Linked DNA regions of Drosophila melanogaster. The protein of the gene in region 1 interacts with the protein of each later gene in a pairwise test. Each region holds a gene or a part of one and is shown in the gene's direction. Other genes may lie near its edges.

Region 1 (7,092 bases):
TTTCACAAACAGCTAGAGCAGCGAAATCAGCGGCATACGGACACCAAGGGATCCCGCGACTTTCTGGAGTTCATGATGGCTGGCGCTGTTTCCAAAACCATCGCCTCCTGCATCGCCTATCCCCACGAAGTGGCACGCACTCGTCTGCGGGAGGAGGGCAACAAATACAACTCCTTCTGGCAGACCCTGCACACTGTTTGGAAGGAGGAGGGCAGAGCAGGACTCTACAGGTGGGTAAAATAGATGAGCAGAGTGAATTTTCAATTTGATACGACATTAAGGCAATCAACTTGTACTTAGGGATTCCCTTGTTCGTGTAGTTCCCTTGAATCCGTCTTGAAATAGAATCGAAGGGAATCCCACTTGCACTCCGACATGTATATAAGAAACATATACATATAAGCTAATGAATTATCATAATGTGCCACCCACGAATTCGTGAAATCTATTTAAATTCTTTTGCGTCGCATATTTTTTGTTTGTTTACCTTAATTTGATTATCACTCTCGAGCGTGCTCACTCGAGGTGTTTTATATATGAGAGCTCTACCTTAGCAAATTCTCCTACTAATTGTAAACTTTACCAACTATTTCCACAGAGGCTTGGCCACGCAGCTGGTGCGACAGATTCCCAACACGGCGATCATGATGGCCACCTATGAGGCGGTCGTCTATGTGCTCACGCGGCGCTTCAACAACAAATCGAACGAGTTCTACGACTTTTAGATGCCTTTCAAAGGACTGGAGAAGGAGTAACCCAATCTGTGCATATGTAGACGCGACTGCTGCAACTTTATGTAATTTTATCCCTCGTTTTTAAACGATCCAAACCAACGAGCGCAAATTCTTAGTTAACTAGCTTCTAAGTCAGATATGAAACGAACTCGATAGACTTAAGACGTTAGACGTTGAACGTTGGCCAACCAATCGAAAAAAAAAAAGAAGCAAACAAAGAAAAAACCAATAATGGGAAACACGCACCAGGATCGAAGTGCACCATCCACACCCTAAACCCACTTGCTGCATGCCACAGAAGGATGTGGTATGCCACCGCAGGGCGAAACGTTATCAAAATTTGAAAAGGCTGCTATTTAGTTAAAGTTACAATATATATTGAGTGTATAAATGTGGTTGATACTTGGATAATATAGTGTACATAGGACTCGATTCGCTCAGAGTGCATTGTAAATAGTTAAAGAGTGAGTTCGCTGGCGTAGTTTTCTTAGTTGTAAGCACAAAATGTTGAATCGGCCGCAGTTGCCAGTAGATGCCGCTAAATATATATATATATAGATATAAAGCCGACCGATCCGATTCGTAAACTGTAAAAGTTTCCGTTAAGTTTCCTCAAATGCGATATACGATTTAGTTATCATTACTCTACTATATTACTTTAACTATATTGATACAATTTTTGCTGTTTATTTAGTCCATTAGTTAGCTAGTTAGTTAGTTATCCCCCCCCCCTCCACGCAAAACGTATTTCACTGATAATGAGCAAAGAACTAAGGAAACCACTGTGAATAATTGATTGCAATCCGATTTGATGGTGAAATCAATAAATACAACAATTTTGTTTAAAAATAACCCACTCGTTTCCCATTTAATATATATGTACATTATCTTATCTTAACAATCGTCTGCAGTCGAACATAGTTCATCTTGGCTAACCAGACTGCCGCCCATAAAAGTGAGATGAGATAAGCCGATTTGGCCAAGATAATACGATTTCGCACAACTAAATTAAAGTGATTTATTGGCTAGCTACTACACTGCGAAAGTAGTGGTAGCTTATTGTAAATATTTTATTTTTCTGAATTTCAAAAATTTAGATCCTGGTTCGGGTACGTGCTAAAAACATAGCATAGCCTGGTTCACAACCTATGTGCTCCATCGAAGATCTCCACCACGTGAGCGATCGCAGTTGTAGTCCATCTATATCACGCCACCACCACGCTCAGCGACGTAACAAAGTGCCGTCTCTAGTAACGTAAGCAGTGTTTCGAGCAACAAGTTTATTTTATTTTCATAAACAAAGTTTGTTTAAAGCGAAAAATCCTGGCCAAAGTGCTAATTCGTTGGCTATTCCGCGAGCAACCTTGATAACGAGTCGCAGAGCAGTCATAGAGCAGCGCAATTAACCCCGATACAAAGCAATCAGTGCAATTGGAGCAGCTTGAAAGGCACACGCCAACAAATCGAGATCGAGCTGATCGAGTCGCGTTGACACCCATCATTCCGCCATGCAAATCGATGCACTGGAGGCCTGAATATGCTGCTCAGCGAGACCCATTTCTGGACCACGTTGCGCGAGGATGTGGTGCGGATCAAGAGCCAGGACCTGGGCGCCTTTCGCTACCTCAGGCAGCGCGACAAGGAGCAGGAGCAGCAGGACCTCGCCTGCCTGGCCAAGCGAGACTATACGGAGCGTCGCAATGGACTGGCCGTGCTGAAGAACTCTGGTCGCAAGTCCACCGGCCGCTTGAAGGACAACCTCAAGAAGCTGGAGGACCTGCTGCGCCAGCACAGGATCATCCACTCCGAGTGGCAGGACGCGGCGCAGGTGCTGCTCCTCTTCTCACACGGCCTGATCGCCCACATCTGCGTGGACATCTACACGGGCGACATTCTGCGCATGGTCTTCGAGAAGTACCTGGTGGGCAAGCTCGCCTCCGAGGTCATTACGGATGGTATGTGCGATTCTCTCCTTTCACCCGCTCCAGCCCGCCCTCCATCGCATTAGAGCCATCCATCAATCAGCTTGGGCATTGCATTTCTGCATGTGCAGCTCGACTGGCAGACATCTCAACTTGCAGCGTTCGAAAATCAGTTAATATGCGTTAACATCACGCAATACATAATGGCTATTTCAGGCGTAATTAAAGGTTCCTCATCATTAGAACGAATTACCAAGACAGCTTGCTAGAAACACATGCATGCCATTTAATTATTCACTAAGCTCTCAGCTATAAAAGCTGTCCTGCATTTAGTTCTTTGTGCTGTTTGCCGCTTGTCATCCAGGGTATCAGTCATTCGATAGAGTGCAGTCCGCATTTGGCCTTGCTCCGCGGAGTGCTGCTTGTGCAGTTATGGAGAAATTTGCATTGGCAACAAGTGCGACTTGATTTGCACTTTCCCACACCAACACAGCCGCACGCACACATGCAGGGCATGCAATTATTGTAATTTTTAATTAATCTGCTGGCTTGTTTTGTTGCCTGTAAATATGCGAACCCCCAACCCCTTTCCCCCATCCACCATCCTCCGGCTTTCCATGTTTTGTTCGAGCCACTCATTCAGCTTTGTCGCTTGTGTCTCTTTTCTCGTCGTGCGCCCGCATCCGTTGTCTCGCCAGCTTTTTTCACCCGTTCCCACATCGTCTTGGCCTACAATACCAACCAGCTGACGGTGGTGCATCTGCAGAGGCCTAATGCTCGCTCCCAGGGACCGGAGAAGATCGCCAATATGGATCCGCGCATCTTCCACGTGATCATACCGGGCGCCACAGAGCGCAAACTATCCCGCCACCTCACAGTTAACGCCAGCTTCGATCTGTTCGTGGTTTGGACGCAGTCCTCGCAGAACGAGGTGTATCCCTGGAGGCCAACGATAAGGGACCAAGATCGTGCCAACATACATGTGTTCAAGATCAAGGGGTAAGTTGCACAGTACAACTCCCACTCCATGGCCCAGTCTAATCGCTTTGCTCAGCTTGCAGCTGGAATCGATTGCCTATTGCTGGTCGGAGAACGATCCGCTGTGCGTGGACTTCCTGCGAAGCAGCGAGAGCCAGATCATCACCCTGGAGCAGAAGGTTTCCCGCAAGGGCGACATAAGCGCAGAAATCTGCTCCTACGAACTGGCCGCCGGCAAGATGCAGCGCACCGCCATTACCTCCATTCCAATGGGCGCCCAGATCTGCTCCTTTGCCTTCAGCCCCGACCAGGAGAAGCTCTTCCTGGGCAGCGTCGATCGCAATATCTGCCTGCACGACCTGGTCCAGCAGTCGACAAAGTACGCCAACCAGATTGAGATCGTGCCCAATCAGTGCGCCTGGCACTGCGACTCCGCCATGCTTTGCGTGGCCAACGAGCGATCGGTGCTGCAGTGCTTCGACCTGGCGCTGGCCACCATTGGCCATCAGCTGGTTAGCGAGAATGTGACGCCGTCCAGCTTGCTGGATCTGTCGCACTACTTCGTGGCCCAGCCAACGCTGCTGAGTGTCGCCTTCAGCCGAAAGCCAGATTTGTCCACTTTTAAGCACACCTACGCCCAGACGGATTGCCTGCTGCTGCTGGTGTACGAACAGGGACCTTTGGCCTGCATGCGCATCTTTGGCGGCACCGGAATGCGCGGCGACATCCACAATTCCGGACTCACTGCGGACGTCATTGCGGACAAGTATCTGCGGCTGCAGCAGCCGGACAGAGCGGTCAATGTCCTGGCCGCCCTCAACTGGGAGACCTACGGAGCCATGTGCCTGATTACGCTGCACAAGATAGCCAACTATGTGTTCTTCGGCGGTGACCAGCGACGACCTCGCATCGAGCTGATGGCCAGAGCGTTGAAGACATTCGCCCACACGCTTTCCGAGGAGACGAAGGACGAGTTCAGCGATCAGGTGTACGATCTGAAGCGCCGCTTCTGCTTCTATCTGCTGCGGTGAGTTGAGCTCGTGTGAACATGCCACTTTTATGCTCAATCCTTTCGTTGCTTGCAGCAAAAACCTCTTCGCTGAGGCCTTCGAAATCGCCCAGGATGTGGCCGACTATGACATCTTCATGGACCTGTACAACCTAACCAAGTGCATCTCAAGCCTGAGTGAGTTCGCCCAGGTGGCCTTCAGTCAGGCAGCTGCCATAATCCACGAGGAAGATCGCGCCAACGGCAATCTCAGCCTGACCTGTGACCTGCGCTCGGAGTCGGCCTGTTCGCTGTCCACCTGCTCGGACATGTTGCGCGGTCAGGGAGCAGGAACTGCCCCCGAAACCGGACTAGGCGCAAGTCAGCCACAAAGCCAGCAGGTCCTGAAGAACTATGTGCCACCGCTGCCCTCGTTCAAGTCGAAGGTATTCAACGCTGAGATGATCAAGATCAACATACCGAAACCGGAACTGAGGCCGCCCTTGCCGAAGGTTTCAATAGCGCCGCCAACATCTTCGCTGGCGAGTCTAACCCTGAAGTCCAACAGTAGTCTGCAGCAGGCGCCCGCAAAGAGTCTGCATCCAAATGGTTCGTGTGAAGAAAATTCCCTTCATAACTTAAATAATTTATCCATTATTTCAGGCAATTTGTGGTCCCAGGACGTGCCGGATCAGACGGTGGGTCTGCCTATGGCTAGTAGTCCACTTCCTCGTCTTCCGCCTTCAAACATTCCAGATCAGAGCGCCCAGCTGGGTCAGTTCAGCACGATGCCAGCTTCGCCTCCGCCGACAGGGTCCTATCAGCCCAAGTTTTATCAACATCCGCTTGTCTCTGGCAATATTCCCGCCATGCTGCCATCGCTCACCAGCGAGGACTACCAGAAGCGCCTGCTGCAAAAGAAACCCACCGCATCCATATTGTCCAACCCGGCGAATCCAGCACCCACCAACGGAGAAGCACCCGCCACGCCCGCAAAGTCACAAACGGCCGAAAAGAACAAAGTCAAGTTCTCGGATACAATTCAAGTGGCGGTGGTGCCAGTGAGTTAACAAATCAATCGATGATGTGACAGTTTACTAATGCTCTTACTCGAACAGGAAATTCCTCGCAAGGAAAAGCCAATGCCACCCAAGAGAAATGGTTACTCCAGGCCCGCTGCGCGACATCTGACAAATCCTAAAAAGGAGCTCGCAGACAGCCTGCCGCTCTGTCATCCGAACGACGAGTATCTAAAGGATTTCAACCCCATTACGACCAGTGGGTATTTGTTGAGTTCACCAATAACCTTGCCCCATTGACCGTGTCATTTCTTCGCAGATGTGACTAAGCCGCCCATCCGACGACGCGAGGAAGAACCCAAGAGCAGCAGCAAGGGCGGCAACTCCTCCTCCTCCTCGTCGTCCATCAAGGTGGTCCACTTCGGCGTGGTCTAATAATTCATAGTGCAATTCCCAGGCGTACACCACACAACGGTTAAGCGCTGCGTCTTCCAATCGTTTGTAACTATTGTAGTAGGCTGCTCCTTCTACCCTCTTCCTTTACTCTTAGTCATACATACCTAATTATACATAGCCAATCTAGTCATAAGCTTATACACTCATACACCCATCCTTAACATACAAATATTATCGAGAAACTTATCGACTAATCGACTCGCCACTCTGCAGAGAGCGCGGCAGTCAGTCGCTGTTGAACCAAGCTAAAGGACAGATCAAAAATAAAAGAGACACGTGAAATTGTATTAGAATATTAACTTCTGTAAACGGCGGCTAAACTATTGCCGTCCCAGTTAGTGCAAAGCTTTAAATAGGAAAGTTTTACTCATAGGTTCTCTATACTCTTTACACAGGTTACTCATTAAAGCTAAGCATTAAATGTTTGCCAAATCGGAGGCGCCGCCTACTTCTTCCTGGTGGTGGTGGGTCCGCCCATGCGCTCCAGCTCGTCCTTCAGGTCGAGCAGCTCCTTGTCGGGCACGTAGCGCCGCTCCTCGCAGTCGTCGGTGTACTCCTGCACCTGCAAGCTCACACCCTCGGGCAGCGCCGCCTGGGCCAGGCGCAAGAACTGCGGATAGACTGGCGCATCCACATTGTTCAGCTGCAGGTTGCGCTCGTAGGTGGTCAGCTTGTACTCCGATTCGATGACCGTGGAGTTGGGCCGCAGTCGCTGCACCGTGGTCTTTTGCGGAGGGAGGGCGTAGCAGTCGGAGACGTCCAAGTCCAGGTACTCGGCCAATCCGTGCAGAAACCTCTGGTAGCTCTCCAGCTGCGGGTAGTCGTAGCCCTTGATCTGCACATTCAGGCTCTCGTACTGCGGGAATTTCGGCTTGAGGGACTGCAAACGGAGAACAATGGTTACTGACCACCAAAATAATTGCTCATCTAGTCTGATCTGATTGAAATCTGTCTACAAGATTATGCTACTATGCTCAAAGCAAGTAATATTTAAA
Region 2 (7,729 bases), 4.7 Mb from region 1:
AGAAAAGCTGGCTATCAACATCACTAACCATGTTTACGTTCCGTAGAGTTCGGTTCCTGACTCATTTGACCAGCTGCAGCTAAATCCCGGCCAGCTGGCGGATTTCGAGCGCTTCCTGGAGGCCCGTTGTGCCCGCATGCCGTTGCAGCACATCATTGGCGAGTGGGACTTCATGGACATTACGCTGAAGACATCGCCGTCGGTCTTCATTCCACGCCCCGAAACGGAGGAGTTTATGCGCCTGGTGATCGATGATCACAAGAACGCAAAGCACGTCGATCTTTTGGAGGTGGGCTGCGGCTCGGGCGCCATGTCCTTGTCCATGCTACACAGTCTGCCGCAGGTGGTGGCCACTGCCATTGAGCGTAGCAAGGCGGCAACCGTTCTGGCTGCGGAGAATGCCAAAATGCTGGGGCTGCTGAATCGATTTGAGGTACACAACCACACCATGGAGGAGGACAAGTACCTGCCGGAGGCGCTGAAGGACAAGAAGTACGATTTGATCATCTCCAATCCTCCGTATGTGAAAACTGAGGAGTTTCAGTTTCTGCATCCCGAAGTCGTGGTGTAAGTGATGTTATACCAGATGGATGCAGTGCACTAACTATCTTATATCCCCAGGTATGAGAACCTTAATGCCCTGGACGGTGGGTCCGATGGATTGAGGGTGGCTCGACTGGTTTTCGACTTGGCTTGTCGGCACCTGCGTCCCGGTGGCAAGCTCTGGCTGGAACTGGGCAACGACCACCCGCCGATGGTGAAGACCATTATGAATCTGAAGTACGAGGGCCGGCTCAAGTTCATCGCCGGCTACAGTGACCAGTATCAGCGCGAGAGATTCGTTCAGATCGAGAAGGTCTAGGCGAGATTGCGCCATAGACAGGACGGAATGCTATGACTTTGACAATGCAATTAGCTATAACGTTGCCCATGCATTTAGCTGTGATTTGATTTAAGACCAGACATACCTGCACGCTGCCCAGAGACTCACACCTATATAAACAGAATATATAGCGCTATTAATCCTTAAGTTTCGTCTCTGAATCTTTTAGCAACAACCGCAGGCGGTATTACTTCACAAATATACCTGTATAAATTGCACAATGCAATTAGCTGTTTGATTTATGACCATATTATTATCAGTATACAAAAACCACAACGACTTTTACCTAAGGCTTTCTACTGCATTTTTGATCCTATAATAATGGATTAACATGATTTTAAAGATCAATAGGTTAAAAGTATAATGCACCTATAATAACTGGTCACTGATTTAAACTATGGCGATTATGATTTATAACCAGAGGCTTGCTGCCATAAATTGGAGGGTGTTAATGATCATCGCGGATCGAGTATAATGCTGTTTAATCAAACTGATGTATTCTATATCTGCGATAAGCAAAATGCTAACCATATTTTTGGCCTGAAAGATGTGTATCCTGTCAATATATAGAATCAGAATATTTCTATGCAAATTAGAAAGTTTTTGCTTAAAGTTACCACTTTAATGCTTATAGGTGTACTGATTATGAAAACAAGGACACATGTCCACAAGGATTACCATAATTATGAACCCGAGTGCATAAATCCCCCGACTTCGCATCTGAATCTTGTTGTAACCGCTCCGCTGGAGAGCTTTAAGCTCCGGAGCGGATAAAAGCTCCGACAGAGTGGCTCGGAGCAACAAGTGGCTAACTTCCGTTGCCAGTTGGAAGTCGAAACTCGCGCCGGACGAGTCTGCGGAATCCGGGTGCGCGAGTGGAACGCGGATTTAGATTGTCGTAGCTCTTTAATTCAATTGACGATTTCGAGCTGCGATCTCCTTCGTTCGGCTGGTGTGTGTTGTTTCACTTTCAAGTACGCATACATATGTGTAGTATAATTAACAAATGGCTAAATCATAATTAAAGTCGGAGTTTCAGTGGATATCACAATGAGCGCTTGATGAAAGTCAAGAAGAGGGAACTTAAAAAGCGCCGAAACAAAACAAAAACGAGAAACACGTTAAACGAGAAATTGATTTTAAAAATTCTACATAAATTTGACCATATAGATTTGGGTAAATGAATGAATGTGCATATATATGTACATGTATATATATATACATACGCCCAAACTGCGATTTGAAGGCGGTTTGAATGTGGATTGGAAACTTTTAGAAACCAATTAGCCAGATCGTGACATTACTTAATGCATTTATCCGCCCGATCGACGCGTGCAAGTGTGTGCCTGTGTGCGTGAGTGCGTGCGTGCGTAAACATGAATACCGAATTGAATCGAGTTCAAACTTGCGTTCTTTTCGCCGACTGGTTTTCCGGCGAGGCTGGCTTAATCGCCTTGCGTTTGTAATTTTAGCACACTTTCAATATTTATTGTCGGTCCCTGCTCCCCGGCGCAGAAAATGCGAATAACAATCTGAGCAAACAAGATTCGGCAACGAATTTGCAGCTTGCCGCGCTGTGCAAATAAAAGTATATATAAAAGTATGTACATATATACATTTATATATAGCTGGTAATGCCTCCTTTGGCAGCATCAATATGTGCACCTGCTACGTGCAACACCGACTTGCAGCAACAGCCAACCGATGAGCGAAAGTCGCACGCCGATTGTGTTAACAAGTGTGTGGCTGGCTGCTCCCTGCCCGCATTTTAATTCATCATCCGCACCGTGTGCCAAGGCACTGCGATTCCCAATCCGTGGAGCTGTGAACGTTTTTGGCGACCTGCAGGCTAAGCAAGCGATTTATATGCTGCCGCTCACATGGCACAAGGTCCCATCCAAAAACAGCAGCGGCCAAGATAGTAGTTCATATGCACATATTTGGGTTCTTAACAGGTTAATTGTCATTTTATAATGATATGGGTTTAATAGGTTTCCATATCTGATCCAAAACTATACAGAAATGGAAGAAAGTCATCATAGGTGATCTTTTATTTGATAATTTCTTACATAAAGTTACTACTTCTTGTTCCCCATTGTACGTTGTGTACAGTGCGCGACGGCTAAGAAAACGGAGTGAAAATCAAGATAGTCGTTATCTAGTTTAGATGGCCTTTCGCAGTCGGGGACTGGGAAACATTGAAATGCAAATACGCCGCCTCGGTAGTTTCATTTGTGTGTCAAAAATTGTGTGGGGGTGTGGGGGGTTAACCCGGCTTAGACTCTAATCTGATCGATCGGAGTGTGAGAAATGGCCTGCTAATGGAATACTTACCACTTTCCCACACTTTTCAATCGCTTCAGCCGAGTGTGTCACCTGTGCGAGCCCATTAATACCCAAGGATGAGCTGGACAAACGAAAGTTAGTTGCGATCGCGTGAAAAGGGAAACCGGACAGTCGGTTTTTTGAGTGCGGATACAAAGTCTACATGTGGCACAACGACAACAGCATCGGCCAGTAATTTAAATGCTTCGCGGCGGCAATTGAAAGGGCCAGCAATTAACCACGACTACTGCAGCTGCGAGGCATAGTGGAAAATCACTTTTATAGACGTACATACATAACTCTATATATACATAGAGTTAGCTCCTGCAGCAAAATGAAGAACCGCCAGCGAACGCGCCGAATATCGCTAAATGAAAACCACAACAGATACATGGGCAGCGGCGGCATCGATGTACAAATAGTTACCAATACAAAGGAGCCCAATCAAGTCAATTTAAATTCATCGTCAGCCACGACGACCTCAGCGGAGGCTGCTCTGCCCGCTTCGCTTCCACTTGCTCAGATAGCGCAGCAGCCACATACCCATCCCCATCCCCATCCCAATCCCCATCTCCACCAGCAACACCAGCTGATTGTGACGCCCACAACGATGACGGGCAAGTATCATCCAGCGCACGCCAAGCTGCGAAGATGCAAATCGACGCCGAGTCTCAATTGCGATGGCATGGCGGAGCCCATGGAGGAGGACCAGCTCCATCGCTTTGCAGCATGCTCACGTAACCCCGCCGCGGAGGCTCAGCAGCATGCACAGCCATCGTGCAACAGCAGCAGCAGCAGCAGCGACGGCAGCTGCAACAGCAACAAGTGCAGCAGCAACATCTGCGGTGCGCAGCCAACAACTCCGGAGTCATTGCGCTTCGGATGCGCTCACTACAAGCGGCGGGCCATGTTCGTGGTAAGTGCAACAGGCAGTCCAACTCCATTCATATTATCTATGGATGCTTTTCCAAGCATTACATAAAAGGAAAAGCCCCAGAAAAGTTATAAAAGTTATACACTTGAACTTCTTTGATATGTATATCAATACAAATTTTAATCCTTTTTTAGTGTATCGTAGTATCTATAACCATTCTTAAGATTAGTAGATAGATGTTCGTAGAAAGACTAGACGGATCCATGTATCTAGCAGTCTTACTTGTAGTGAGATTAGTTTATTCAAACCTCAAATGTGAAACCAGTCAACTTATGTGATATAAGAACAAACTTCAATTTTGAAAGTTCTTTTTTTATTTTATACGGGTATAGTTCAATTCCTGGGTCATCAGATAAAGAATTATGCAATTGGAACCCCTATGTCATGATTAGAAAGCGGATCAGTCATTTCACTTTTATAAAATGAATCCTAAAAATACATTGAAATAAATTCAAAGTGATAAAGCCATTAAACATTTCACCCATTTGGAAAATTTTCAAGAAGATTATGATGGCGCCTCTAAATGGCATTTGTATGCCTATTTATCCATCTATCTATCTATGTGTGTGTGTGTGTCTATCCAACACAGCTACCTTCCTGAAAATGGGCGCATTTAACCTTTATTTATTCGTTCCTAAACAAATAAAGTGGCTAAACTCTAAACAGACACCTTTGGCGAAGATTCTTTTGTGTCTGTCTGCTGACTAGATTTTGAATTCAATTGGAGGGCATCGCTATTTGCACGGCAAGTGTTTGGCTTGTGTGGACAGCTTGACGATGTCCGGCATCCAAAAAACTAACTGGTCAGCATGCTCCGCTGAGCAGGAACTGAGCAGGAGGCGAGTGGCCACTGGCCAGTTAACACCTCCATTCGCCATTCATCTGGGCAAACAATGCGTTTGTCTTGATCGCTCGCGTTTGGATAACAAATTATGGGGCATCTAAAAATGTTGTGTGTGCATATAAAGCAATCGTAGCACGGCTATATTCAGGTTCTTTACCTTAACAATTAGTAGAGCCAGCAGACATAATTATCGTAAGGTGATAAGTACAGAAGTTCGAAGGTGGGAAAAGTAACTCAGTGCTGGGGAAAGTGGTAACCATTTCATGTATAAAGTATCTCATGCAGAGAAGACTGCAGCTGCACTTGATTAGATAGATTTGTTTGTGAATGACCTGGATTATTAAATAAAGAAAAAGAAAGTTAAATGTAAATATTTAAATACTTATAATTCCAACAGTAGTGAGCGCTTATTTGTTGTTGAAAAGCAGCCAATTCGCGATATGAATTATTAATTCCCCAAAAATTCTGTATTATGCGCTATGGCCTTACAATACTTTCCAAAAAATGTCACGTAAATCCGTACACACGCTTCAATCTGTCCCACATTTTAATAAAATTCGAATGTAGAGGTTTTTGCTTTCGTCTGTGCACCGCGAGAAATTCGGATAAGCGAGGGTTTTGTGCACTAATGAGGTGCCCATTGAGTGTTGAATCAGCTGGGTTATTTTATAGTCAAATATTTATTTTCGCCCGACAGTGCGTGAAATAAATGTATACATGAATGTGGACATAAGCTGAGAGCAGTATGTGCAATCCCCCAAGTGGAGCAATGCCCCATGGATATCGCCTGTTCCCGCGAATCTTGTATCAATTTGTGTTAGAAGCTTTGTTTCGTCTTGGCTAAATAAATTTGAGATGTCTGGAGTTAGCCAATTGCAGATGCAAACGATCATTAAAATACGATCGTTAGTGAAGCACAGCAATGAAAGCCGGGGGGAATGACAAAGAAACCGGATTCGAAGACTCTTCTCCGGTTCGGTTCTGTACTTCGAGTGTTATCATCGCAGCAGCAGCAGAGTTGAAATAAATACTTGTATACGAAAAAACTGTTGTTAAGTTATAAATAATTCTCAAAGATAGTGGAGATAGATGTGTGCGCGAGGCTGGAGGCAGATACAAATGGCTGGGTGTTGGCTGTAACTAAGCCGAACTCGAGGATACACAAGATAATTAAGGGCATAAATTAACTTATTTTCAAACTTTATCCCCAAGACAAAACTGATAGAACTATATCATGTAGTTCGAGCTGTGCATCGACAGGTGAACTAATTAGCAGCCACCTAATTAAACGACACGAGTACCTTTGGCATCTTTACAATCGGATTGGGATTCACCCGCTGATTTGACTCGAAATTCGTACAAAATTCGATTCAGTTTCAAGTGCCTTGTTTATGATAATGCTAAGTTATTGCCTTTGGCATGTAGACGTCACTAGTAGATTTGTTTTTTAGTCGGTTTCCAGGCAGATTTCTTAAATTAGCAACTCCATTTGGGGAGTTAGGAGTCGTGCTAATTGCCGCTCGATAATAGGTTTTTCGTAGTCCTTGACTGAGGGGTGTAGTCCATCGGCAGGTGTGGCGGGGAGCAATCTCAGCTCCATTTAAAGTGGAATTTTTTCGAGCAGCGATTTCTTTTCAGCACTAATTTGATCTGATACTGATCACGCAACTATATCTTTCTCAGACCCCCTGCTGCAACAAGTTCTACAAGTGCCGATTTTGCCACGACGAGAACGAGACGCATCACTTCGATCGCAAAACGCTCACCGAACTAATATGCTCCGAGTGCAATACGCGGCAAACGGTGCGGGAGCAGTGCCTCAATTGCGGCGTGAGATTTGGTAAGGTAAGATATCCATCCAGGTGTCCAAAAATCACAGCAAAACCCTACTAGTAATATCATTTTGATGTACTTACAGTACACCTGCCTGATCTGCAACCTCTTCGATGATGCGGACAAGCAGCAGTACCATTGTCATGGATGTGGGATTTGTCGCATTGGCGGTGCGGAGAACTTCTTCCACTGCGAGGTGTGCAACATGTGCCTACCTATTCAGCTGAAGATCGATGGCCACCGGGTGAGTTGGTACTACATTTGGCACTTCATTGGGCTTGATTAAGATTTGGCCTGTAAGTGGGAATGCTGACCTCCGCGATTCGAAAGCAAATCAAAGAAACACATTAACTTTTTTTTTTTTTTGTCAATTCATTACCAAAACCGGTTGCCTAATTGCTATATGTAGCGATATATGATCTGCGATCTGCAATCTGGGATCCAGTTGAGTGGATATGAATGTCAAATGTGCTGAAGCAATGACTTCATTAATTGACAGCGAATTGGGCCAGAGACTGGCATGGCTGATTGCTAAATCCTTGCTAATTGACAACGTGTCTATTTTCCCGTAGTGCGTGGAGAACATCTCGCGATCGCACTGCCCCGTGTGCCTGGGCGACATCCACACTTCGCGCATACCCTGCCACATTCCCGACTGCGGACACCTGCTGCACAAGATGTGCTTCGACCAGCTGCTGGCCTCCGGCCACTACACCTGTCCCACCTGCCAGACCTCGCTGATCGATATGACGGCGCTGTGGGTATACTTGGACGACCAGGCGGAGCGCATGCCGGTGCCACTGAAGTACGAGAATCAGCGAGTGCACATATTCTGCAACGATTGTCACAAGGTACGACTAGATATACATAATACTAACATTCATGAAAAGCTCTTATAACCTTATCCAAT
Region 3 (3,680 bases), about 15 Mb from region 1:
TTCCGCATTTACAAATCCCCCCACCCCTTTAACGGGTCTAACTGCGTCCGCTCTGCACTTGTACACATCCTGACATACACATATATATTTTTTATTTCCCAGCCAAGTGAGGCTGGAATCAAATGTCAATAGAGAGTACATTTCATTCGGTCGGGTGACTGGGTTTTTCTGCCCAGCGCCACCCACTTTTCAGTTCCCCGCATTGTAGCTGTCACAGTGTTTGTTTGCGGATTTGAAGCTTTTCCTCTTTGCAACGCGCTTTTTTGCCACGCCTGCCGTTGTCCTTTATCGAAGGAGCGGCTTGAGTATTACGAACTGAATGCAACACCTCGATATTCTCGATACCTTATTTAATCTCATCGGCATTATCAAAATGAATCCACTTATCTGCTTTCATACTTTTTGGAATATTAATATAGTTTCTTGTATTTAAGAAATAAAATGTGTCAATCAATGTATTGCTTTTCTTAAAGAAATTTTTCCAATTTAATTTATATTTTTTTGGGAAATCGTCACCTAGAGCATTTCGAGTTCGTGTGGCCTTCCTCAAGGATCTCTAATCTGCTTTCTGGTTCGGATTCTGGTTTTATTTCCGGGCATCCTCCGATGCTGTCCGCCCCTTTGCCCGCCCACCGACTAGATGCTTTGGACTTGCTTTTTATTTGCACGGAAATGTATAATTTTTCCGAGTCAAATGTAAATACTTTTAGCGTATTTTTGTGGGATTCATCGCCTTGAATTTTTTGTGACTGGGGGCCTGGGGCGTGGCACATGCAAATGACACGCCTGATGCTGCGTAAATAATTTTAGCGCTCTCTCTTTTGGCATAAAATGCTAAATAAACATTTTATTCTTGGCAGAATTCCTTCTTCGAATGTGGGTCAAATGGAGTGTCCATAAAAGGCGCTTTTATCCCAAAACCAGATGCCGAAAATACAGTTTAATTGTATGCATATTGGCTGCGGTTCCGTTTGAGTTGGTGGAAACGTCACGTTTCAACAGCTCAATTTTCGGTTTTGCGATACGCGAAGAAACTTTTGCAATCCAATTAAATTCATCGCAAGTCGAAATCTCGTTTTGACAATTTATGCATCCTTGTGAGACGCCACAGGCATATTTATTCCCATCGATGGCTAGACAATGACGCCTGCGGTCCAATAAATAACCGTCCTTTTGACACAATCGAAATTGGCTCGCAAACAAATTTCTTTTGTCGAGATATCGCCCTTTTTTTTGTGCCCACTCGCACCAGAGGTTAAACACTTAACCCGCGTTGTGGGAAAAATGTGACATCAAATTATGGAACGTAGGCAAATCGCGGCCGTTATCAAAAAATGTAGTAGCCATGGTAGCCAGACTGAAGTCCACGATATGGTTTGATTAAGCGAAGTCGTGGGGTAAATTTACAAGAAAAAAACGAAACGCAAATGAGAGCGTCAAATATATTAAGGCATTTGCATTGGAAGTATTATATTATTTTTCTAATGATCATGATTAAAATGAATTACTGAATTTTTTCCGATATAAGGCTAAGCTAGTTAACATAGATTAAAACATCAAAGCTAACACATCTAGTTCAGTCTGGGCAGAAATAAAACTTAAACGTATAAACATTTTATATATCCCAAAAATAAGAAGTAGAACCTAAAAAAAAAAAACAAACACATTTTGTCTTATAACCATGACGACTAAAAGAACAAGGTTCGATAAAATGAACCTGGGAGTACCCGTTCACTCGGACCCCTATGAAGTGGAAAATGAATCGGCCTCGTCAATAAAAAGAGAAACCGGCGAGAAGGTCATGTCTCATAAGGAGCTAATGGAAAAACTGCATAAGGAGGTGAAGCTCACGACGCCGGACTTCTTCGCCCATGATCCATCCTGCAGCTCGGACGACTCCGAAGATTTCGAATTCCTGGAGACTATCAAAGAGCGAGCCAGACGCATATCCTTCGTACGACGCCGAAAGCTGCACTACACTGAGTTCTCAACGGTCGAGTTGGCCAGGCGTCTGATCCGCGAGGAGTTCACAGAGTCATCGGAGAGTCAACTAAGCGTGGATGATGAACATATCTCCGAGATCGCCGAAGAGGAGTGTCCGCCCTGCGGCACAGACTCCGACGACTTACTTCCGTACTTCCAATACGATCGGGCTACAGACCAATCGATGATTTCCGACGACAGTCTGCCAAAGGAGGATCCCGAGCCCGGATTCCATCCCGCCCATCATTGCTATAATAAGCTTATAAGCCAGACTCCTGATCCGCCGATAGTGTACGTTCCCGCGGAACCAGAACCGCAACCGGAACCGCAACCGGAACCGCCAGTGGAACCGCGACCGGAACCGGAACCAGAACCAGAACCGGAAACAGTACTACCACCAACTGCTCCGGAAGTCATTGATAAAACAGCTCCAGAAGAAGAAAAACACACTAGGGTCCTTGACCGTGGCGAAAATATTGACCTAAAGAATTTGAGCGCCATACAGAAAAACATAAGTTCGAGTGTGAAAAAACATACTGGTCAAAAAACGCGAAATTTATAAACTTAAATTGATTGATGCAATTGATGTATATGGGATCCCATTTCTCATTGTGCATTAGATTAGTGTTGCCTAAATTAAGAAAATGTTTCGTTGGCTGGAAATCAAAATCCAATCCGTATAGCCCAAATGCTGCGAATGTTTTTACTTCATATTCCAGAAGTTATATAAGGCTTTATTTTAATCGTAAAGTCAAATAAACCCATATTCGTAAATGCATACAAGCTAATGTAGACACCAAATAACCGTAATCGCCTCTGATCTCAAATGACTCCATCAACGCTCTCTTTCCCCAGCGCAGCTTTAAAAATATAGTTTTCTCGACCCGGAGACCGCACAATTATTTGGGCCATAAAGGACAAAACCCGCACTAGCGCACACATGAAGGGACGGAGGACATTCAAAGGGATAACTAAGTGTGCACGATAATGACGCCTAACGGGTTCCATTCTTCTCCTTGCTTTTTTTTGCGTGGGTGGATACTAGGAAGATGAGACAATAAGGAGCTAGAAGGACAATGTGCTGAAATTATTTCAAAAGTCTTTGTGTGCGATGAAATTCCGTAAAATACAGCCATTTTGTATTGGCCTTTTAATTTAATAAAATTATTACTCTTAGGGATAATATGGATTGGTTTTAAGTTTACTTTCTGTAATATGTAATTAATATTTAGTTAGTTCAATTCATAAACAAGAATTATGGTATTTTCATTCATCACAATAATTGTCAAGCAAGTGCCGATTTCAATTCTTTTGTTTGTTTTCAGATCTGTATGAGCTCAACTTACATTACAATATTTCATTTATTATCCATACCCATTTTTTTCATTTATGCAAGCCAACATGGCTTTGTAGCCTGTGCGTGTAAATGTTTTTGATTCTTTTAAAATATTTTAATTACGGAAGTTTACACATACTATTTCTTTCTTTTGTTTTCTTTTTTGTGTCGGTCATGTTTTCCCTTTCGATACCGGTCATTGTTTTGTTTAATTTTTGTATACACGTTAAATATGTATAGTGATAAGAATTGTGCAAGTTTTGTTTGAAAAAACTGCCACGTCCGTCGGTAACTCTCTTACCTCCATGAGCTAAAAAACAATTTACAGCCTACACTTTTGAAAACCGAGTCAATTACTCTC

The links.
Region 2: the proteins of frtz (region 1) and Rchy1 interact in a two-hybrid assay, tested with the Drosophila melanogaster proteins (one large-scale study listed by BioGRID).
Region 3: the proteins of frtz (region 1) and CG12620 interact in a two-hybrid assay, tested with the Drosophila melanogaster proteins (one large-scale study listed by BioGRID).

What each region holds. Positions count from the first base shown.
Region 1 is NT_033779.5:1,710,736-1,717,827, reverse strand, and holds frtz (fritz), read left to right. Parts: upstream 1-1,976; 5' UTR 1,977-2,271; coding exon 2,272-2,689; intron 2,690-3,354; coding exon 3,355-3,655; intron 3,656-3,710; coding exon 3,711-4,661; intron 4,662-4,719; coding exon 4,720-5,231; intron 5,232-5,285; coding exon 5,286-5,683; intron 5,684-5,740; coding exon 5,741-5,900; intron 5,901-5,960; coding exon 5,961-6,076; 3' UTR 6,077-6,526; downstream 6,527-7,092. Other genes in the region: Rim2 (replication in mitochondria 2), read left to right, coding at 13-230, 599-725; mRpL48 (mitochondrial ribosomal protein L48), read right to left, coding at 6,543-6,977. UniProt on the Drosophila melanogaster protein: Probable effector of the planar cell polarity signaling pathway which regulates the septin cytoskeleton in both ciliogenesis and collective cell movements. Functions cell autonomously to regulate wing cell hair polarity and number.
Region 2 is NT_033779.5:6,459,657-6,467,385, reverse strand, and holds the start of Rchy1 (ring finger and CHY zinc finger domain containing 1), read left to right. Parts: upstream 1-1,716; 5' UTR 1,717-1,857; intron 1,858-3,246; 5' UTR 3,247-3,542; coding exon 3,543-4,124; intron 4,125-6,669; coding exon 6,670-6,831; intron 6,832-6,904; coding exon 6,905-7,063; intron 7,064-7,391; coding exon 7,392-7,670; intron 7,671-7,729. Other genes in the region: HemK1 (HemK methyltransferase 1), read left to right, coding at 47-567, 622-862.
Region 3 is NT_033779.5:17,086,044-17,089,723, forward strand, and holds CG12620 (uncharacterized protein), read left to right. Parts: upstream 1-1,597; 5' UTR 1,598-1,681; coding exon 1,682-2,545; 3' UTR 2,546-3,143; downstream 3,144-3,680.